3 linked regions of the Stegostoma tigrinum genome follow. The protein of the gene in region 3 interacts with the protein of the main gene of each other region in a biochemical or structural test. Links are inferred from orthologs where the notes say so. Each region holds a gene or a part of one and is shown on either strand. Other genes may lie near its edges.

Evidence for each region. The genes of interacting proteins can lie anywhere in the genome.
Region 1: the proteins of tfap2a (region 3) and BTB/POZ domain-containing protein kctd15-like form a complex in vitro, tested with the Homo sapiens proteins (2 studies listed by BioGRID, with this or other methods). The link is inferred for Stegostoma tigrinum from reciprocal best matches to the Homo sapiens genes TFAP2A and KCTD15.
Region 2: the proteins of tfap2a (region 3) and cited2 form a complex in vitro, tested with the Homo sapiens proteins (2 studies listed by BioGRID, with this or other methods). The link is inferred for Stegostoma tigrinum from reciprocal best matches to the Homo sapiens genes TFAP2A and CITED2.

What each region holds. Positions count from the first base shown.
Region 1 is NC_081369.1:65,289,882-65,297,895, reverse strand, and holds the start of BTB/POZ domain-containing protein kctd15-like, read left to right. Parts: upstream 1-4,688; 5' UTR 4,689-5,046; coding exon 5,047-5,107; intron 5,108-8,014. UniProt on the Homo sapiens protein: During embryonic development, it is involved in neural crest formation. Inhibits AP2 transcriptional activity by interaction with its activation domain.
Region 2 is NC_081362.1:90,588,355-90,596,434, reverse strand, and holds cited2 (cbp/p300-interacting transactivator 2), read left to right. Parts: upstream 1-4,847; 5' UTR 4,848-5,157; intron 5,158-5,359; 5' UTR 5,360-5,371; coding exon 5,372-6,088; 3' UTR 6,089-7,254; downstream 7,255-8,080. UniProt on the Homo sapiens protein: Transcriptional coactivator of the p300/CBP-mediated transcription complex. Acts as a bridge, linking TFAP2 transcription factors and the p300/CBP transcriptional coactivator complex in order to stimulate TFAP2-mediated transcriptional activation.
Region 3 is NC_081358.1:44,308,285-44,316,204, forward strand, and holds the start of tfap2a (transcription factor AP-2-alpha), read left to right. Parts: upstream 1-4,582; 5' UTR 4,583-5,228; coding exon 5,229-5,390; intron 5,391-6,005; coding exon 6,006-6,080; intron 6,081-6,378; coding exon 6,379-6,810; intron 6,811-7,920.

The sequences.
Region 1 (8,014 bases), on a different chromosome or scaffold from region 3:
GGGTGGCAGAACCAGGGAGACATCTGTTCATATTCCACACCCTGAGTCTAGGGTTGGGCTGCAGTGGGGGTGTTGGAGTCTGTCTGCCATTGAGAATGAAAATGTCTGCGGGGATTGGGGTGGGAGCTGCAAAGAGGGAATGTGGGGAGAGAACGAGTGTGAGGATGGATCGGAGGAGAGTGGAAGATAAAAAAAAACCACCGTGTGGGGGCTGCGTGGCGGGTGAGGCAGGCGCGCAGCAGGGGGCTGCGTGGCGGGTGAGGCGGGCGCGCAGCAGGGGGCTGCGTGGCGGGTGAGGCGGGCGCACAGCAGGGGGCTGCGTGGCGGGTGAGGCGGGCACGCAGCAGGGGGCTGCGTGGCGGGTGATGAGAGGGATGGGATGCATTAAAGGAGAGATGCAGCGGGAAGAGAGGGAACCAGTCAGCAAAGGAAAACTCTACTAATTCGGAACTGGGAAAACTTTGATATCTCTGAGGAAATGAACCTCTTGCAAAAGCGTGTTAAATCTCTCACTTACATCTGCCAGTTTTCATTAACTGTGATTTGGGGAGAAGTGCAGTGGATGCCACAGTAATCAACATTAGCAATTATTAAATCTTAATCTGAGATTGAGATCAGAGATACAATAACTTCCTGGTTGAAATCCTCCCGCTGTACGTATGATTAATGGAGAAGATGTGGCTAGGGCGATGGCTTCATGTATGTAGGTGTGTGCGCGTGTCTGATTTTGAATATTTTTGTTAGCATGTACCTGTTGTCTCCCAATTAAAACACTTTGTGTCCATGAAATTAATGCTTTCCTTATCAGCTGTGGCTTTCTCTCGTGAGAAATGTAGAATAATCAGGAGATAACAAGGTGTAGAACTGGATAAACACAGCAGGCCAAGCAGAGTCAGAGGAACAGGAAGGCTGATGTTTCGGGCCTAGACCCTTCTTCAGAAATGGGAGAGGGGAAGGAGGGTTCTGAAATAAATAGGGAGAGAGGGGGAGGTGGAAAGAAGATGGATAGAGGAGAAGATAGGTGGAGAGGAGACAGACAGTTCAAAGAAGCAGGGATGGAGCCAGTAAAGGAGAGTATAGGTGGGGAGGTAGGGAGGAGATAGGTCAGTCCAGAGAGGACGGGCAGGTCAAGGGGGTGGGATGAGGTTAGTAGGTAGGAAATGGAGGTGCAGCTTAAGGTGAGAGGAGGGGATAGGTGAGAGGAAGGACAGGTTAGGGAGGTGGGCTCGAGCTGGGCTGGTTTCGGGATTTGGTCGTGGGGGAGGAGATTTTGAAGCTGGTGAAATCCACTTTATACCATTGGGCTGCAGGGTTCCCAAGCAGAATATGAGTTGCTGTTCCTGCAACCTTCGGGTGGCATCATTGTGGCACTGCAGGAGGCCCATGATGGACATGTCGTCTAAGGAATGGGAGGGGGAGTTGAAAAAGCTCGCGACTGGGAGGTGCAGTAGTTTATTGCGAACCGAGGGTAGGTGTTCTGCAAAGCAGTCCCCAAGCCTCCGCTTGGTTTCTCTGATGTAGAGGAGGCCACATCGAGAACAGCGATAAAGTATACCACATTGGCAGCTGTGCAGGTGAACATCTGCTTGATGTGGAAGGTCTCTTGGGGCCTGGGATGAGGGTGCAGGGGCACATGTAGGGGCAGGTATAGCATTTCCTGTGGTTGCAGGGGAATGTGTCGAGTGTGGTGGGGTTGGAGGGGAGTGTGGTCCTACTATCTCTAGAATAATCAGGGTATTGATTATTTAGGATATTGATGAATTCTTCTAATTCTGCTTCTGTCTGAGTCTGAATGCTGTGTATGTCTACACATTCTTGTGTCACACCTCACTGGGGTCGTGTACTGAAAATCAAGTCACATTAGGCCCCGAGCCAATCAGAGTGCTGTTGACAGGCAGAAGGCCTTTATCATTGACAACTGGTCAGAGTCCACCGACCAGGCAGTGACTGTGTGCACGGTCTGTGTCCAGCTCATCAGTAACCAGCTCCTCTGCTTGAACAAATAGCTGTGTAGACGCCACTTGTGATGAGTGTCGATAACCTGCTTTAGAATGTGCAGCACTCCTTCAACAATCCCTGGTCTTTAAAACAATCTTCTTCCCATTTCAGTCAATAATCAGAGAAATAAAATGATATGGTCACGACAACTTTTACTGCGGGCCAACACCTAATAAATGGTTAGTGAAAATAAAGAACTAGTTCCTGCAAATCAAAAAATTAAAAGCCTTGTGATGGGGGAAATTGTTTTGTTTCCTGGTACAATTCTAAAGACTTCATGTTCTTTTGTGGGATGTGGACAATTAGCACTTTGAAGCAATACTTCACCTGCACTTCCCAGCATCTAATAGAACATAGAACATTACAGCACAGTACAGGCCCTTCGGCCCTCGATGTTGTGCCGACTTGTCATACCGATCTCAAGCCCATCTAACCTACACTATTCCATGTACGTCCATATGCTTATCCAATGACGACTTAAATGTACCTAAAGTTGGCGAATCTACTACCGTTGCAGGCAAAGCGTTCCATTCCCTTACTACTCTCTGAGTAAAGAAACCACCTCTGACATCTGTCCTATATCTTTCACCCCTCAATTTAAAGCTATGCCCCCTCGTGCCCGCCATCACCATCCTAGGAAAAAGGCTCTCCCTATCCACCCTATCTAACCCTCTGATTATTTTATATGTTTCAATTAAGTCACCTCTCAACCTTCTTCTCTCTAATGAAAACAGCCTCAAGTCCCTCAGCCTTTCCTCATAAGACCTTCCCTCCATACCAGGCAACATCCTAGTAAATCTCCTCTGCACCCTTTCCAAAGCTTCCACATCCTTCTTATAATGCGGTCACCGGAACTGTACACAATACTCCAAGTGTGGCCGCACCAGAGTTTTGTACTGACTTGACTGTTTAGGTTTAGAGATGTTTAGGTTAGGTGGGCTATAGAGGGATGGGTCTGGGTGGGATGCTCTGAGGGTCAGCACGGACTCTGTGGGGCCGAAGGGTCTTTTTCCACAGTGTAGTTTTCTAACTCTGTCACTGAGTATTTCTGCCCTCTGTGTGACTGACTGCTTTGTTGGTGTGTAGGTACCTGGTTGATGGTGACCTTTTGCTGATTTTGGGGGTGTACTCACAGTGGACAGCAATATTGATAAGGACACCATAGTGTCTCCCTATTGCTCTGTGTGTCTCCCTGACTGAACCCTCACATGATGACCTGTATTTCCTGTATCTGAGGTTTGTAAGGGTGGCCCGGTGGCTCAGTGGTTAGCACTGCAGCCTCACAGCGCCTGGGACTCGGGTTCGATTCCCGCCTCGGGCAACTGTCTGTGGGGAGTTTGCACATACTCCCCGTGTCTGCGTGGGTTTCCTCCGGGTGCTCCGGTTTCCTCCCACAGTCCAAAGATGTGCAGGCTGGGTGGATCGGCCGTGCTACATTGCCCGTAGTGTTCAGGGGTGTTTAGATCAGGTGGGCTACAGAGGGATGAGTCTGGATGGGATGCTCTGAGGGTCAGCACGGACTTGTGGGGCCGAAGGGTCTGTTTCCAAACTGTAGGGACGCTATGGATTCTACGATTGTGGGTGGAGTCACATTTAGGAACATCTGAATGAACTAGGATCAAATCTATTTGGGAATTCAGGAGAAATCCTGATCCAAACAGCCAGAAAAATGTGGCTCATTCACAGGAAACCGGAACTACACGAGGAAACCCACTGTAGTTCGCTCACTGAGACTGGGAGAGGATAAATTGCAGAGAGAGCTACATAGAGTCACAGAGATGTACAGCACAGAAACAGACCCTTTGGTCCAACTAATCCGCGCCAACCAGATATCCTAAATTAATCTAGTCCCATATGCCAGCATTTGGCCCATTTCCCTCTAAACTCTTTCTATTCATCCAGATGCCTTTTAAATACAGTAATTGTACCTGCCTGCCCGACTTCCTCTGGCAGCTCGTTCCGTACATATACCACCCTCCGTGTGAAATGATTGCCCTTTAGGTTCCTGTTAAATATTACTGACCCCACCTCACCTTAAACCTATATCCTCGAGTTTTGGAATCCCCCCCACCCCAGGGAAAAGACCTTATCTATTCACCTTATCCAGGCCCCTCATGATTTTATAAACCTCTGCAAGGTCACCCCCTCGGCCTCCGACGTTTCAGGGAAAATAGCGCCAGCCAGTTCAGCCCCTCCCTGTGGCTTAAACCCTCCAAGATAAGGGAGGGACAAATAGAAAGGCTTGAGACTGAGGGTGGGAGGAGGTTGATGTGTACCACAAACCCTAACATGGTTTATTTGGGCCAACTGGCCTGTCTCTAGGCTATAAAATCCAGTATAATTTGCGATGTTACTTTTTTTTGTCATGCTGTTCCAGAAAATTTTAAAGAAAGGCTGTGCTTCACCTCAGTGCCCCCCACGAAATAATGAGAAATATTCTGTATTTAGAAACGAGCAAGTAAATTAAAAATGGATTGAAGCTACTTGCTAGAAAGTAGCACAGGCACCAAGTGGATTGTGTTCATTTTGAAACGTTTAGTTTCATATTAAATCAAGGTCCGTGCGCTCTGTTGCTCTGTTTATTATGTTTGTGCCTGGAGCCAAGGTCCATGTTTTTGAAGCCTTCTGTGAGGAGGTGGGTGGGAGGGGAAAGAGTTGGATGTTTTCCCTACTTTAAAAAAGGCAGAGTGTTGCACTACTGTAGCACCTTGCACATCCTCAGAGGTTGCAAAACACTTCTCAGTGAATGTTATGCTTGTGATGTGCAACGCTTTTGCAACGCAGGAGATTCAGCGACAAGCTGTGTCAGCCCCAATAACCCCTGTCTATTAAAGGATTAGTCTTCATCTTCCCGAAGGCTGGAAAGTTTCCTGCTGTTATCCTCGTGGGATTGAGTAACACTTCCCAACATTGATCCCAAATCCCGAGATTCCCACAAATCTGGGTCATGACAGTCAGCCCCTCATCGAGTCATTGGCTCCAAACGTTACCAATCCAAATTCCTGCCGCCTGCCTGGCCACAGGATTCGGCAAACGGAGAATCAGCTGATGTCCGACTGGGAATCACAGATCTTGTGGGAAGTCAGTGTTGCCTCCTGCTGGATGCAAGGTAAGATCTGCCTGTGAAGTCTTCCTGTGCAAAGGTTGGCCCACACCTTGGGCTTTGGCCTGAGGGTAGTTACTCTGGCGAGGAGGATCAGGAGGGAACAAGTATTGGGTTGTGATACAGGATGGCATTTTAATGAAATACAAGGGTGATCTCAAACTCATACCATATCATTCTGAGTCATTTAGAACTGCGCCCCGGGGAGAGTCGGCCCCTCGTGGGCCTGGTGCTTGTGTACTTGCTGCTAGCTCTTGTGCCAGGCTGTTGCTGTGCCTGGGTGGGTACTGCCCAGTGCGCCCCCCTTTGACAGGGTGGTTTAGTGTAACATCCCACGGTCACTGTTCAGTGTGAGTTGCTCGGTCGGTGGGTTTTGTACAATCAGAGGGCGCTGTCCTCGCTGCTGTGGTCTCCCATGTGTGCGTGCCGTGCTTTGGCCTGTAACTGGGGACTGAGTGGCTCAAGTCCAGAACTGTGGCACATCTTGCCGAAGCCATGAGAGCTGTCTTTGCAATGCCCCTGGCGAGTTGAATTTGAGGGATGGGTGACCTCTTGGAAGAGTCTAACAATGAGGTCATGTAAGGCCAACAGCAGCCACAAAGGGAAGTGGTGGTGTTGGCACAAAACTGGAGATACTGGGCTAATCTTTCAGAGCAGGCGCTGGTTACGGTGATATTTGATCAAGTTGTTCAAAACTGACAGTTTTGATTCTTTTCTACATTTCTGGGACGTGGAAGTTGCTGGCAAGGACTGTATTTATTGTCCATCACTAACTGCCAGTGAGTAGATGCTAGTGAAATAGATCAGGGAGAAGCTGTTTCAAGTGGCACGAATATTAAATAATACCAGAGGCAGCTGGAGAGAGTATCACTTCCCATGAGTTTTAGTGATTGTTGAGCCCTGTCTTTCAGTTTGGATAAAGAAGGAAAGGCCAGGAGAGTAGAACCAATTCAACTGCACTTTGAAAGAGTCAACAAAGATACAATGGGCTGAATGGCATCCTGTGCTACATTGGTCAATGATTCAAAATGACACAGCAGTGTCTGCCTGCCTGTCTCTGCCCCTGCCCCTGCCTGTCTCTGTCTCTGCCCCTGCCCCTGCCTGTCTCTGCCCCTGCCTGTCTCTGTCTCTGCCCCTGCCTGTCTCTGTCTCTGCCCCTGCCTGCCAATCTCTGTCTCCGCCCCTGCCTGTCTCTGTCTCTGCATGTCTGGGTGAATGCGTCTATTGAGTTTGTTTGAATGTCCTAAAGGTATCAAGGCAATAAACTGTGATTGGCTGAAATATCAGTCCTTTAAATCCATTAAGAGAATGTTGGGAGTGCCCCGAATTGAAAATGTGAAGATTGAAATAATATAAAGATTAGTGTGGAGTAAATGAATATACTGCGTCTGAAATCCATGGCTGTACATGATAGCAGGAGAACGCTTTGGGACTATTGGTCATAATTCTATTTGTTTTAAAATAGTCATGGAAAAGGATATGCCTTCCATAAAAGTTAAATTTTTCAATGGGAGTAAGTCAAATCTTAATGGTATGTGACAAGTACTTCAAAAATTGATTGGATAGAGTGTTTGCAGGTGAAGGGACATCAGACAAGTGGGAGGCTTTCAAAAGTGTGATAGTGTGAGTTCAGAGGCATCATGTTCCTGTGAGAGTGAAGGATAAGACTGGTAGGATTAGAGAACAAAGGATGAATAAAGATATTGAGATTCTAGTCAAGAATAAAAAGAATCATGTATTGGACATAGGCAACTGGGTTCAAATGAACCTCTTGAATGGTATAGAGAGTGTAAGGGCATTCTTAAGAGGGGGATCAGTAAGGCTAGGAGGGAGTATGAGATAACCTTATCTGCCAAGGCTAAGGGTAATCCAAAGAGATTCTACAAGTATATAAAAAGCAAAAAAGCAACTAGAGAGAGTAGGGCTTCTTAAAGATCAAAAGGTCAACTTTGTGTTGAACCTCAGGAGATGGGAGAAATATTAAATGAATATTTCACTGATAATGGGAACTGCAGATGATGGAGAATCCAAAATAATAAAGTGTGAAGCTGGATGAACACAGCTGGCCAAGCAGCATCTTAGGAGTACAAAAGCTGACGTTTCGGGCCTAGACCCTTCATCAGAGGGGGGTATGGGGAGAGGGTTCTGGAATAAATAGGGAGAGAGGGGGAGGCGGACCAAAGATGGAGAGAAAAGAAGATAGGTGGAGAGCAGAGTATAGATGGGGAGGTAGGGAGGGGATAGGTCAGTCCAGGGAAGACGGACAGGTCAAGGAGGTGGGATGAGGTTAGTAGGTAGGAAATGGAGGTGCAGCTTGGGGTGGAAGGAAGGGATGGGTGAGAGGAAGAACAGGTTAGGGAGGCAGAGACAGGCTGGACTGGTTTTGGGATGCAGTAGGGTGAGGGAAAGAGCTGGGCTGGTTGTGTGGTGCACTGGGGGGAGGGGACGAACTGGGCTGGTTTTTGGATGCGGTGGGGGTAAGGGAGATTTTGAAGCTGGTGAAGTCCACATTGATACCATTGGGCTGCAGGGTTCCCAAGCTATTCCTGCTATTCCTGAGTTGCTATTCCTGCAACCTTCGGATGGCATCATTGTGGCACTGCAGGAGGCCCATGATGGACATGTCGCCTAAGGAATGGGAGGGGGAGTTGAAAAAGCTCGCGACTGGGAGGTGCAGTTGTTTGTTGCGAACCGAGCGGAGGTGTTCTGCAAAGCGGTCCCCAAGCCTCCGCTTGGTTTCCCAAATGTAGAGGGAGCCACACCGGGTGCAATGCATACAGTATACCACATTGGCAGATGTGCAGGTGAACATCTGCTTAATATGGAAAGTCATCTTGGGGCCTGGGATGGGGGTGAGGGGGGAGGTGTGGGGGCAAGTGTAGCTCTTCCTGCGGTTGCAGGGGAAGGTGCCGG
Region 2 (8,080 bases), on a different chromosome or scaffold from region 3:
CTTAGCTTTCAAGCGTTGGAACTGGACTCACTTGCTGCAACATGCTGGTCCTGAGGACTGGAAATGATCCTGGCTTCCCATATAGTTCAGGAAGAGCACACCATGTATTTGAGCTCTCCTGCCATGAGTTACACCTTTCAAATTAATCCTTTTGGAAGATGCTTAATTTCAAATAATATCAATTACTCAGAGGCCCTTAATCCTTGCTATTACAGAATCATAGATTCCCTACATGGAAGCAGGCCATTTGGCCCATCAAGGCCACATTGACCCTCTAAAACTCACCCGACCTATTACCCTGCATTGCCCATGGCCAATGCACCTAATCTGCACATCTTTGAACTGCAGGGGGAAACCAGAGCACCTGGAGGAAACCCATGCAGACACAAGGAGAATGTACAAACTCCACACAGGCAGTCACCCGAAGATGGAATCGAACCTGGGCCCCTGGCGCTGTGAGGCTGCAGTGCTAACCACTGAGCCACTGTTCCACTGCCAATGGAATACAGTCCTTACTATAAATGACAAATAAAGCAAAAGAATCACCTCTTCCCCTCTCCAAATTCCCACTGTGCTCCAAATTCCCAGAAACACCCACTTACTCTGGCTGTGTTTCTCTCAGGCTGTGTCTTCACCCAACTGCTCATACAAAGCTTACGACTGTGTTCTTCCAGCAGTCCCTTTTGACAGTCATACCTCAGCTAAAGTCCATTTCTGAAGAAGGGTCCCGACGCGAAATGTCAGCTTTCCTTCTCCTCTAATGATGCCTGGCCTGCTGTGTTCCGCCAGCTCCACACCTTATTACCTCAGACTCCAGCTTTGGCAGTTCTATCTCATCTAAAACCCCTCCTTGTTTTCCTGATTAGATCCCTCCCTCATCAGCCAACAATAGATCACTGTCTCACAAACACCTATCATGCCTGAAGGTCATTGTCAGCAATGCACCAGATCTGAGCAAGGATGTATTCCTGCTTCTAGTATTCCTTCCCCCAGCTTTCCAGCCTATGTTCTGTGTTCCAGCGCCACACTCCACCCTCAGCATTCTGAGTCAGAATTTTGTGAGTTCAGAGACTGAGCACCGAATTCAATGTCGATGCATCAGTACAGTATAGAAGAAGTGCATGCTGTCAGGAATGCTGCATTTCAGATAACATGTAAACCAAAGTCTTTTCCATTTACAGGCCAGCATGGGGCAAGCAGGTACATTCCCCCCAATAAAAGCTAAATGCTGCAGATAAATCTGAAACAAACACGTAGAATGATGGAGAAACTCAGCAGGTCTGGTATGTATGGAGAAACAGAGTGAGCATTTTAAATCCGGTGTGACTTCTGCAAAACTGAATTAATTCCATCTTATTCAGAAGAAGAGTCATTCTAGACTTAAAATGTTCACTCTGTTTCTCTCTCCACAGATGCTGCTAGATCTGGTGAGTTTCTGCACATTTCACTTGTTTGTTTCAAGTTTGTCCCAATGCCCTGATCAATATTTGTCTGAGTCACTGAAGACAGATTATCTGGTCATTTTCACATTGTGGTTTGTGGGACCTTGCTGTGCACAAATGCTTGCCGCATTTCCTAAATTGTAATAGCAACTGCACTTCAAAATGTAGTTCTCAGGCTATAAAGCACCTAGGGACCTCCTGTGGTCACAAATGATACAATCAAATTGCAATTTTAAAAAATATTAGGTTTAATGTTTTTTCAGTTACAAAGGTCCATGACAGTACAATTTTCCTTTAAGATTCAATGCAACTGTGTTCAATAAGAACAATTAATTAATTTGCGATAGTCAGTGATACTTCAAAAAATAATTATTTTCTTCAAATTGCCAAAGGAGCAGCAAGGTACAGCATTTGATCCATCTGTAATGAGGTCTGACTGGGACCATTATGTTCCCACTAAACTGATTATCTTAACAGAGAGATGGTTTTTTTCATTCAAATTATCCGTAATGAGTTAAAAAGAGAACATTTCAAATGTTAAAAAAAACTGAAATAAAAATGGAAATTGCTCAAAATAGCCAGTAGAGCTACATGCTGATTATAAATAGAAATGACAGGCCAGTATTGAGTATAAACCTGCTTTCCTACGCTGCATACTTTTAAGAATCAAGCAAAATCATTGCTGTCCTGCTAACAAAATAACACTGAGAGCAGATTCTTGCTCAAGACGTCAACCAATTCACAAAAAAACAGAATAAAAGTCTCAAGGGTGAAACCTCATAACGGTGATGGCCATTTAAAGATATGAGTTTCTGTCAGTGCCCAAGTGCATCATATTGAGTGAGATGACGACCAGGTCGGTGCCACACCTGAGTCAGCTGGGTCTGTGTAACTGGTTTCAGTATTAATGTAGTGTGAGGGTGGGGAAGCGCAGCAATCCAGTGACTCCCATACTGGGCAGTGCAGGTCTGTACAATACTGGGTGAGAAAAAGAGAAGTGGGCTGGGAGTGTGTGTGTCTGTGTGTATAGGTGTGTGTGGTGTATGTGCACATGCGTGTGTGTGTGGTATGTGTGTATATGTGTTCGAGTGCGTGTGTATGTGTGGTATGTGTGTGTGTGTTTATGGGCATGTGGGTGAGTATGCGTGTGCATGGGTGCGTGTGTGCAAGTGGTGAGTGTGTGTGTGGGAGGGGTGAGTGTGTGCATGTGGGTAAGTGTGCATGTGTATTTGTATGTGTGTGTGTGTGTGGGTGAGTATGCATGTGCTTGGATGTGTGTGTGCAGGTGGGTGAGTGTGCATGGGCTTGTGCGAGTGGGTGAGTGTGTGTGTGTGTGTGTGTGTGTGTCTGTGTGTGTTTGTTTGTCCCACAAAATGACAACAGTGACCACACATGGCAGGTACCTGTACATGGAGTGTTTTAATGCAGCAAGGCTCCTACGTTGCACCTGCCACATGGTTCTGGTTGACCAGGAGATTTGTTCCCACCTTAGTGTCTGCCAAATCAGAAGGATTTCCAGATTGGTAATCAGCCTGTATTGGTCACATTATGGCCCATGCTCTGTAACCCATCAGGTCCTGAGGTTGGATTTGAGCTCTCAGCTTTTGTCCTACCACAAGAACGCCAAGTGGGGCTTGACTGCTAAATTGAAAACCATTCTGTTAGAATTAGGATTAGAATTATTGTCACATGTACTCAGATAAGTACAATAAAAGTTTGCAAGTCACTACTTAGGGTGCCATTTAGGTACAAAGAGGCCAGCTGATGAAAGGCTCGGGGAAGCATGCAGTCAGTGTGTTAGCTGGGGTTCGGTTGTTAGCTGCTGAGTCAGGTACATTGTGGGTTCAAGTCCCTCTCCTAGACTTTGATTACAATGGCTCACCTGACAGTCCCAATGGACAGAGCACTTCACTGCTACAGGTTCATGTTTCAGATGAGGTATTAAACTGGTACACTGTTAGGGAGGTACACTGTTAAAGATCCCATAGAGCTATTTTGAAGGAAAGCAGTTCTCCCTGGTGTCCTGGGCCATAACCATCCTTCAATCAACATCATTGAGACAGACTACATGGTCATTATCTGTTTCTAGGGGCTTGCTGTGCAGAAATTAGCTGCACGTTCTCTACATTACAACAGCAACTACACTTTTAAAAAGATTTTCATTGGCTGTAAAGTGCTTCAGGATCTCTGGCGGTTGTGAAGGATGCTACACAAATGCAATTCTTTCTTTTTGTAGCATAGGAAACCTGCAAGACACTAAGGGAAATGAAAGGCAGTGAAGGATCCGAAGGAAGGAGAGCTTCAATCTTTCCGGATGGTGGTGATGTGGAAATGCAAATTGGTCATTTTTTCCTTTCTTAATCCAGCAAAAACCTTTTTTTAAAAAGACACTATTAAATATGGGCATAAAACAAAAGCAAAATACTGAGAACGCTGAAAATCTGAAAGAAGGGTTTAAAAAGGATTCAAAATTTTAACTCTGCTTTCTCTCTACAAGTGCTACCAGACTTGCTGAGTTTCTCCACAATTTCTGTTTCTGTTTGAGGCTGAGATGGATAGACTCATGATCAGCCAGGAAATTAAGGGATACGGAAAAGGCAGGAAAGTAGATATGAGGGATGTCAGATCGACCAATGATCCCAGTGAATGGCCAGGTAGGCTTGTCAGGCTGAATGGCCTATGCCTGTTCACAGTTCTTACGATCCAATGGTCTTTTCCAGAACTCCAAAAGGTCATTTCTGAAGGCGACTTACATGAGACTTGGGTTGTCAACTCTGCTTTCTCTCTCTACAGATGTTGCCAGACCTGCTGAGTTTCTCCAACAATTTCTGTTTGTGTGAGTTTCTCCTGCACTTTCTCCTAGTAAATACATGATACCGTCATGGATAGACGATGCAAATAACGCATTCTGTACAATTAGACTGTTTTGAAGCACAGGCGCTGGACTCAAAACATTAACTCTGTTTCTCCCTCCACAGTTTTTCCAGCAATTTCTGTTTTTGCTTCAGATTCCAAGCATCTGCAGTTCTTCGCTGGAAACAAAAATTGCTAAAGATCACAGCTGGTCACACAGCATCCACGGAGAAAGACAGCAAGCTAATGCTCCCAGTCTAGACAACTCTTCATCAGAGCTGACGCTGCCCGACCCACTGTGATTTCTAGCATTTTTTTGTATTCAGTATAGATTCCAGTATCTGCAGTAATTTGCCCCTGCATCTGCATTTGTTTTTTTATATGAACGAATCTGTTGCTGCGTTCTACGTCTTTATTTTTTAATGTTCTTTTGCATTTCCCTGTTCTGCAATAGTTACGTGAGCGAAGGAGGAGATTCTGGCACCTGGTATTCGGTTTGACTTCCTGATCCAGATCCACATTCCAGAGAAAGTCTATGCCGGGTGTTCAGTCTGGCCTCAGGAGCCCTATATTAAGAGTGGCCGAGGCAGCCGAGTGAACATCTTTTGTTGGTTAATCCTTGCGAGTTTGCGACGTCTGATCCTCTAGCTTAGCAGCACGAACATATTTATATATATATATATAGAGAGAGAGAGAGAGAGACAGGGGCATAAGGAAGAGTGCGGCTGAGAATAGTCTGTACATAGAGAGTTGGTGAATGTGCAAAGGCAGAAAAGCAGAATAATCAATATTATTCTCTTTCTTTGCCCAGAGATCAGTGAGAAAGCAGAGGAGGAGAGAAAGTGCATTTGTTGCAAAAGAGGTAAGTTGCAAATTGTATATTTTTTAAGTCTTGGCTTTGCAAAAGGTTTGGACAAAGTTGCTCATGGGAGAATTCATGGAGTTGCGAGCTGTCCAGTTTGCATTCTTCCATATATTTTGCAATTGTTGTTATTTTGTCTTGCCTTCTTTCATTCACGAGTGCATTTCTTTATTTCCCACCCCCTCCCCTCTCTGCATTGAAGTTGGACGGGGCGATGGCCGAGCGTATGATGAGCCACGGACGTTTCCCGGAGGGGCATAGCGGGCTCCACGTCCGCCGGATGAACCTGAACCCTTACCCCCAGCACCAGCACGCCTACAGCGGCTTGATGAGTGAGCACCCGGCCGCTACCTCCTTGCTGCATTACCCCGGACCCAGCAACGTGAACTCCTCCAGCGGCGGCTTGAGGCATGCGCTGGTCCCCGGCAGCAGGCAGGGGGTTCCAGTCGGTCATCTGAATAACATGCCCCCCAACATCAGGTACACATCTAGGCAGCAGCAACAACATCACTCCCATCCTCCCCATCCCCAGTATATGGGACAAGGAGTGGCTGGGGGCAGCCCTGCAGCGCAGCTTGCGGCCAGCATGCATTTACAAAAGCTGACCAACCAGTACTACGGCCACCAGCAGCAACACTACAGCATGACGGACCTGCATCCCGCTAGCGCCTTGGGTCACCAACAACAACAGTACAGGGAAGTAAAACATCATAGCTCTTCAATGCCAGCGAGTCACCACATGTCTGCAACAATGCTGCCCCCCAATGCCATAGACACGGACTTCATCGACGAAGAGGTCCTCATGTCCTTGGTGATTGAACTGGGTTTGGATCGCATCAAGGAACTGCCTGAGCTGTGGCTGGGACAGAATGAGTTCGATTTCATGACTGACTTTATTTGTAAACAGCAAACCAGTCGGGTGAGCTGCTGAGAGAGTGTGTACTGAAAAGGATTCTGGAAAGGAAAAACAACGCAAAAAAAGACTTCCATCTACTGAACTCAGAAAGATTTATTCTTTGCAACGCGAGAGAGAGTGCGAGAAATAATCTGTTGTTTTTAGATTTTAAATATCCATTCATCAACTGAGTGACTTTTTTTTGTTTAAATCATGTTGTTTGATAACTCCTTCACTGCACATGTAACCACTCTGTACATGTAACTTTCAATGTCTTTAGTGGCCTGTTAAATGTTCATTTTTAATTTAAAAAAAAACAAAAGAAAACCGAAACAAACCGTTCAGAAAACAGTGGAGCACCCGCAAGCAGAAAATTTGATCACACCATCTGGGTGTTTTATTTTGAATGAAGCACATTTTATTTTGAAAGAGAAATGTATGGGTTAACTTTTTTTTGAAGCAGAATTGTTCTGAGGAGAGAGAGGGAGTGAGAAAAATCTGTTATGTTTTCCTCAAAAGCATTGTGAAGACAGTTAAAGGAATTATATAATCACCATTCTTTTTGTTCTCACCTACCAACACTAACACAAAAACAGTCATTTTAGTTTTGAGTGATGTGTGGTATGATGATGTATGTATCAGTTTGATTCATTCAGTTTTCAAAGAGTTGCAGTGATTTACCACCCCCCCAATCCCACCCACAACCACCCCCCACCCCAGGACTGTAACTTAAAACCAGGGACAGTAGTCTTAACACAAAAGATTTAACATTCCTCCAGCCTTGACGAGATCTTCATGACTGCGTCACCTTCCCACCCACCCCCCTCCTGCCAGCCTCTGTCTCTCAAATGTTTGGACATTGCAGGGTGGAACGTGTACGCATGTGTTTGTGTGCATGTTTGTGTCTGTGTGTGCGACTAAAGCATTTCTCAAAAGGTGGTTACATTCTCTTTTTTTAAAAAAAAACAGTTCATTTGTTTGCTGTTTACTTGCCACTACAATGCCAATTTATCGTTTACATGATAGTCTGTGTTGAAGCCATTTTTTTTGGAAGGGGAGGGAAACGAAAAAAAAATGGACAGTATTTTTTTACAAACTTAAATATTGCTGCAGAAATGTGTGTTTTCTTAATTTATTATTCAATGCTTCATTTATTTTGAGAAGGTTATAATAAAGACCCTGGAGATTACAGTAACTGTAAATCACTCAGTCTTTTTGTCAAGAAATTTGTTTTCAGTGCTGTTGACAATGTAGCCTTAAGTAGACTGGTGTTATGCATCAAGTTATTGTGAAACTTCTGGGAGTCGAGGAGATGGGGGAGGGGAGATGTGGCTCTGGGAGGGGCACAGAAAGCAAGAGAAGCAAATGGGGCTCGTCCAACCAAATCAGGATCACAAAAAGGCATTTGAACTGAGCCATTTTGTAGTTTTTTTTTCCGGAAAGCTTTTTTGTTTGCTTCGCTTTAACAAATGGGAGGTGAACAGTGGGTTAAGAATATATCATGCCACCGCATCCCCCCACACCCCCCGCTCCACACATCTTCAGCTCTCCCAACTAGCTAGCTGCAGTTGGAGAGAAGTGTCTCTTATAAAGGCACAGTTCACTGCCACCTCTTCATCTCTTGAGATGGCATTCTTCCACTGAATGGCTTCAGGGTGAAATCTCTCCACGTGGCCTTATTAACATGTTCAGGGGTGGGGGAGACCACTAACTGGTAACATGACAAGCTGCAAAACAGGAAGAGACTTGTAATCCCTTTTGTGTGTGCATGCGCTTGTTTCAACCTCTGTTCTGTGCATGTTCTTGTCTCTGTTTTTACCTATTTGTGTGTGTGTGTTGTGCATGAAGCGTGTCTTAAAGGGCTACCTCTATTTAAATATCGATCAGTGTGTTCTCAGTCGTGGTGCCTGTATTTTTGTAAACTAATTAATTCTGGGGCTTTTTTTTTGTAATTTCTGCCCAGCCATCTGTGTATCTTTTTGTACTGGAGGTCTGTGTGTGTTTTGCTGCTTTTCACAGTCTGAGTTT
Region 3 (7,920 bases):
TTTGGCATGATTACAGAAGTCCCAGTAGCCATTGAAAGTTGCTGCCTATTCCAGCGGTGCCTATATTTCATTATGTAGACGAACGTCATGGATAAAGTCAGTGAATTGGGACAAATAATTACAATTTGCAAATAAGTCAATGAGTCCAAACTTTCTATCAGTACTTACATTGTGTTTACCTGCATGACGCAACTAATACAAACTCTATAAAGTCTCAGGTTGAAAAAAGTTTAGATATCCAATTTACACTACTACAGGCGAAACCCTTGGTTTAGTTGATTTGTTTGAATGGGCCCTGAAAAGGTTAACTCGATAAATACGCCTCAAACCTTTCTGCCTTTTCCCTTTTGCGATGTGATTTGATTTTCTTGTCAGTTCACTATCGGCGCTGTGCTCCAGATACATAGAAAGCAGCCCACTGTAATCATCACCATGTTACAACTTTTCCTAACTTGGGGTCAATCACAATGAGATTACAAACAAGAAAGATTAGCCTCCAGTTTAACGAGCGATTATGTGACTGTTGTATTAGTCTAACATGTTCGTAGAACAACGCTAATCTTGGGGAAATAACTCGTTTTCTCAGGACAGATTAAATTTCATTTCTTCTTTCATATTTTATTTTTAAACACTTTTTTTCATATTGAAGAGTGGCAGTTTGTCTATCAACTCCCTTTTCATAAACACACAACTTGTTTCAGGTTCATTGGAAATTCTACTAAATAGACAATAACTTTTACAACTGGATTTCGGCAGCAATGGATTTAACTTTATTTGGTGTATTATTAAACATTTGAAGTTTAGAACCAATAGAGTATCAATACAAATATATTTCTGTGAAGCCTATGTGCTATTTGCTCGGTACAAAACTTGTAACCTAATTCCATTGTTCCATGGTTCCTAGATTTTCTCAAAGATTGAAGGTAGTCTGTAACAATGTGAGATAACAAGGTGTAGAGCTGGATGTTGCTTGTGGGCTCCAAATCAAGAGTCATGTTATCTATATAATTTTCCAAACATTTCAGTGTATTTTATAAACTGGAATTATGTACGACACAAATCTAACTTTGCTGCAATAATAATATTTAAAAAGTTAGAACACTTTTGGCGGACCTAAAGCTTTGAAATAAGGGGATATTCTGTCTCAGCTGACACAAAAAGACGTGCATTGAAAAATGAACTTGTTAGATGCTGAATATAAATACAGGTATTTATCATGGTAGGATTTATTGAAATCCATTGTTCAATACAAGAAACATAACGACAGTAACATTCAAACAGAAGTATTTGCTGTACTTTAAAGCCATTCTCTAACTTGTTTATGCTTTCACCCGCGAAACGAAAAAAAGTCAAAATATCTGAAGCACGCGTATAGGCCAGGCGCTAAAATGCTGTAGGATAGCTAGGTCCTAAAAGTCCTCTTCACCTGTGCACCAAGTTAAAATATTTAAATGCACAAATATCACGTACTTACACGTTGATTTAATAATCAATGCAGACTGTAACAGGTGTTTTTCTTTTTGCCCTATTTTGGAAAAAAAGTCAGAATGGGCGAATATTTTGAAAAAGATCAATAAGGAGAAGATAGTATTGTGAGTAATGGCGTTTCACCATCGTTCGCACACTTTAACGGAGAGGACTACATTTATTCTAGTCCACGGTAACAAGACCTTGTAACCAAATAAACAGATGTGAATATTTTCCTCGCCACAAAAGAAATCGCTGGCATTTTAAAACGAGGCGAACCTTGTTATGGTTACATGTGTATAGAATTACATTTAATTAAAAGAAGTGCAAATTGGGAGGGGAGGAGTTGGAATACATTTCACCGGTTTAGGCTGCTCAGAAACTGCTCGACAAAAGCAGAAATAAAAACAGCAAAGCACCGCTCTCCTGTTAAAAAGTGCTTCCATTCGACAGGAGCATATATTTTAATTATTCATTGTATTTTGCTATAGCGATCGATTAGAAGTTAATTTAATGTATGATTCTCAGATAAACTCATTTACTATATTCTTATACTCCACTAGTCTGCCAGCACAGAAGTGAACATTAAATGATTTCTAAATTAACTAGCATCGGTTTATATGAGATTAACAAATTTTCATTTGAAAATGGAGATGTGGAAAATATCTATTCTTTAAAAGAATCGACATTTGTACACAGGTAAAATAGAAAAGCTGCAGGTTCAGTGCTTTAAATCAATGATCTTGCAAACTCGTTATCTCTTTTAATGCACAGCGTTATATTAAGAGGTAACACCCCCTTCAACAGTTCGAATGAAAGTGGGAGATCACAGCTCATGCAAGCAGCTTGTAATGAATAAGTGCTTCACAGTAGAAAGTGAGCAAATTGGGGGGAAGAACATCACTTTTAAATGTAAAAATACTGCCGTACTCTTTGCAAGTGACTTAAGAGAACAGAACGCCATCAAGAAAAAAACATAAATTAGATCCGCGAGCTTTTAGAATAATTGCATAAACACGTTTAAAAATCCAGGTACAGCTGAATATTTTCGCCTCTTAGACCCAAAGCTGACTGTGACTCCAGCGATAGAAATAATTTTGTATTTAAATTTCAAAACGTTTGGCCTTTTGGAGTGAGGTGTTCTGAATCGGTGGATATCTCGGTCCTCTAATTAAAGACAATAGATTCTGATGACATCTTTGTCCTCGAGCTCCACCAAAAATGGTAATGAAGATTACCTGTAGACGACGCCTAGATCTAGTCACCCAGATTACCTGGGTTGAGAGTTACCCTTGCACACTTTCTCACCTTCAATGAAAGACAACGGTGCAACCTTGTCTCGATTCATAAATTCATAGTCAGACATTTATTATGGTAATAACTTTAATGAAGCGGTTGTGAAGAGGTTTGCAATGCGACGTTAGTTCAAAATAGTTTGCTTTTTTAGTCCCTGTTTACGTATGAATTGAATAGCTACATAACAAACGATTTCCACCTCAATGGCTGCAGTGCAACACTCTACACGCTTGTTATTTAAAGCCTCCAGATAGCAAAGAAAGGTAAATGCCGAAAGAAATTCTCGCTCACAAACCTAGAATCTCTCAGCTAGGAAACGAGACACAACCGCTGAAAGAATCTAAATACTGGTAGTAAAGCCACCTAATTATCAATGAAATTCAGCACTACTGAGGTTTACCGCTCTGATAAGCGTAAACGTGTCCGGGAAATAACTTGCTGAGGGAATGTTAAAATTGTCTTTACTTTGAATTTTCCTGAGGAGATGCTTTTTAAAAAAAATCAGCAAAAAGCAAGGAAGTCGGAATCAGTTCGGATTCGATTTAACTACATCCATTGTGAAGCTAATATTTAAGCTAAACTGTTTACTTAGTAAAAGGGCATGTAGATGAAGTTGGGTGCTTGATACGCAGAGGAATATGAAGTTAACTGTTGTATCAAAATATGGGTCATATCTATATATTTATTATTGCTATTTAACATAGTGAAAATGTGAAGCACACTTGCCCTGTTATTATAAAATAAACGACTGAGTTCGGTGTTTCAGCAAGATTATTGCCTTCATTGGAAGGCATAATCAGTTAACAACTAAACAGTGCATGTCTGCAGGGAGAAGAGTTAACCAAAGAAAGAAAGTCACATCGTACTCTTGTGCTTTGGTAGAATGGAAGGTAAGGGAGGGTTTAACAAGTAACAGAACAAGTAGCTCCATGTACATTTATAAGCTGTTGTCCACCGCCAATGTATTTATGTTGACGTCCATTGCCAGGCGGCAGGGCAGGCTCTCTACCTGTATCCATTGGAGCAGTAATGTGGTTGAATGAGTGTTTGGCTGGTGTTCATATGCTAATTGGGCTGTTATTAGCGAGTTACTAAAGAGCTGAGAGGGGAACACGATCGACCATTAGAGGGAGATCTCAGAGCACATACAGAGCGCTAAACCAACACACACTCTCTGTACAGGACTGTCCGCTCTCTGAGACATCCAGTCAACCACTTTTACACCAATCCATGAGAATGCTGTGGAAATTAGCGGACAATATCAAATATGAGGAGTGCGAGGTAAGCAATTTCATATTAGATTCAAAAGAATTAAAATGCAGTTTTCACTGCCCCGTCGAATGAAAAAAAGCTGTACATCACTCTCATTTAAACCGAATATTGCAAAGTTTTATTTTAAACATTAAGTATGCTTTCACAGTTATATATTCTATAGAAAGATGCAGCATGACAAAAACAAATGGAGCACTTGGCCATTCGGCTTAATAATATTGTAAAATAATGCAAACGCCGATTGCAGGGTGCGTACCTCAGCTCTATTGTGTGGCAATAGCTCACGTTTGTAAACAATACAGGAATCGAGAGTTAAGAATCGACGTCCACTAGATTAAGCATCTGAAATGATTAATGTTTGGTAAACCTGGCTGAAATCCTTCGCCTATAAATTCTTAACAGAACCCTCAAAAAGGGCCGCGTTGCTGGCGATGTTTGTGAAAGTAAAACCAAAATTAAAACGCTAAGCTTGCTGCACTTATTGTCACAGAACGCCTTGGGAAAGAGCAAGTTTGATCAAGCAAGGAAAAGCAGTTTGCTTTTGTAGTCAATTCTAATGCCTTAGTCCAAATTGTATATCTGTCTGCATTTGTTGCTTAAACGTTCGTAATCCCCACCCCCAACCACCCACCCTACCCCCCACAAAAAAACGCACATGGAAACATTGAAATCTGCACAAAATTGTGTCTTGGTAAAGATGAAAGATTTTTGTGTGGAAATGGCAGAAGGCGTTAGATGGTTCAGGCTAAAAGCCGTGATTGTGCCCGGATTGAGAAAGTTGCTCTAGAGTTTGCGAGGTAATATTTGGGGAGTTGTTTTGAAGTTGTATAGCCAGTCAAACGGGTTTGTACAGCAGGCTAGAAGGCAGTTCACACCACGGGCTAAACCAAGCGGCCGTTTAGTTTCACTTTATTTTTTTCAAAAACGCGGGGAGGAAATTAATAAAAAAAATATAAGAATCCAAGAAAAGTATGAAGGGTCGGCGCGAGCTTCCAGCGGAGTAGGTTTACGATCAGAAGTGAAATCCGTTTGTTTGGAGCCGCTTTCGAGTTGAGTTTAGACGAGAGTTGTTTTTTTAGGATCGCAGTAGGGGAGCAGCTTGCGTAAAAGTGCGTGAAAACGAATCAGGGCTTTGGAGACTCCATAGTGTCTCTGTCGCTCCCTCTGTCTCTTAACTTTTAACCCATTGCACGATGGATCAGACTACTAGTGACCCAGGATCAGGGCAGCAGTCACCTCCGGATAAAGAGCTGAAAAGGAAGAGAGCTGAGAGCGCAGGTAGTCGCTCTCCAGCCAGGAAGCGAGTGGCCGCCGACATGCCTTTGGCGTTTGCTGGATTCTCACACGATAACGAGGTGCAAATTCCTTCCCGCATCACACTCTTTCTTTCCTTCCCCTCTTTCTCTCTGTCTCTCTCTCTCCCCCCTCTGACTCTCACCATTCCTGCTCCCCTTCTCTCTCCCTCTCACTTTCGCATGCCCTCGATCACTTGAAAATGTTCTCTTCTTCCCTGTGATTCGTCAGAAACAGCAATGTGTGCCCCTCTATTCTCTCTCTCTCTCTCTCTGATTAGATACACTGATTCAACGGACGTCATTTATAACAGACACAGCTTTAAGTTGCTTCCTCGCTTCACGCTCGATTTCCGACCATTCTCCCCTTATTAAGTATTCGTGTAATATTAATAGTCATGAATATCTGCTATTATGTGCTGAGTGAAGCCACGGCTCGCCCTTAGAGGAGGAGAAAGAGAGAGAGAAAAAAAAGTTTGAAAAATCTACCGACGTGACGCCCTGAAACTAGACACAATTCTGATCATTTTTTTTTGTTTGTGTGTGTTGTTCCCAATGAAGAAATTTTTCAAGTTCTGATGGATTCGCTTGCCTTCCTCCTGCATGTGACTCCCCGGCGTTGTGATCGTGTTGTAGCTGTATAGTACTGGACTGTTTTTTCCAATTTTCCACCTCTAGGTCTCTCTATTTTTTCCCCCTGACGAACTCAGATCAGACTGCCCGCAGATGTTAGTGCACAGTTTCTCGGCCATGGTGAGTTTCAGTGAGATGCCACTAGGTTTAAAACGAGCCTCCCCCGCCCCCTCCCAAAAACAAAAACTGGTAGCACTTTGGATTGTGAAAATAAAAAAAATCTAGCATACCTCCTTGGAGGATAATATTTTGTTGAATTCTACCCCGTGCGATAATTTACAATTACTAATATGGCCAGTAAAACTTAAGCTTGCCACCGCCAACGAAAGTGTCATACCAGCGATGTTTCTTTAACAAAAAAGAATAAAATAATGTATTTTTTAAAAATTACAACTTTACATGTCTGATTTCATTGCAGGACCGGCATGACGGCACAAGCAATGGGACTCCACGGTTGCCTCAGTTAGGGACGGTCAGCCAGTCTCCGTACCCGACCGCCCCGCCGCTCTCTCACACTCCCAACACGGACTTCCAGCCGCCCTACTTCCCTCCTCCGTACCAGCCCATCTACCCGCAGTCGCAGGACCCCTATTCCCATGTGAACGACCCTTACTCGCTGAACTCGCTGCACCCGCAGCCCCAGCCGCAGCACCCGACCTGGCCTCAGCGGCAGAACCAGGAAGCGGGAATCCTCCACCAGCCCCGCGGGCTGCCCCAACTCGCCGGCCTGGACCCGCGGAGGGAGTACCGACGGCCCGAGGTCCTCCTCCACAGCACCCACGGACTCGACTCCGGCCTCGGGGATACATTGCCTATCCACAGCATCGCACATGCCATCGAGGATGTACAGGTCGGTTCTTTGAAAACCCTATGCAGTTCTTACTTTACACTGCTGCCTTGGTCTATAGTGAACTGTTTTCAAATTAAGGGGAGATTCTCAACCCATTTACCCACCCACCCCTTCACGACCACCTCTGGTAAAATCTGCTTTCGTGAACCCTGCATCTGCTTCAGATTTTGAAAATAAAATTGACAAGTTTAAATTGACAATCAAGCGAAACAAATCTATTTTTTCCAAATGACCAATACATATTAATGTTATGTATTAACATGCATCAAATGAGAGCAAATTTCTCCTCTGCATTGTTAGAAATATAAATTGCGTCTTCCCTTAATTAAATCCAGCACTTGCTTTTTAACGCTATCAGTTTCTCTCATTCATGTAAACAGTTTGGAGTAATGAAATTGTGTGGTGCGCTTTATTCAATATTTCAACTTGATAAAACAGACTTATTCCAATTTGGACTTTGCCCAGAGCTTCAAAATTGGAATCATTAATTTTAAACATATATATAAAATTCTGCATGTGCCTTAATTCCTGCCCCCAGCCCCCGCCCCCAATCCCAACGAGAAAATAAAAAAATCGTTTATTAGCTGTGGCGAGTTGCTGAAAGCTGGTTACAATGCCAGTGGTCATTGTTGAGTTACTGACCCGAGATTGCAAAATACAAAAGGCATGCGTTTAGTTTGTACTAAATTGTTCGTTTTTCAGCGCCGTGGCGAGCTGTGCTTTTAAATTATAATTTGAACTCGTTCCTTCTGCAACAACCTGGAATAATCATTAATGTGTTATTACTTACCTTGCAAACAAAGGATGCATATTAATGCGGGATGAAAACCATCCGCCCTCTTGGTAGCTGCGTTTAAGGCTATGCTCACACCCCCTCCCCAAATGTTACTCTTAATTTCGTTTAAAAAGTGCCGATTTTAAAGCTCTCGTAAAATATTCATAAGCAAGGAACCGTCATGCATTCATTTCCAAACAAATACTCATTATGAATGCTTAGAGCGATTGAAAGCTGTTCAACATTCAACATTCTACTTAATACCTGCGGCTATACTTTACCTAAATGTGACTGGCTCTTTAACACACACATACACAATCTGCTGTAAACAAGCT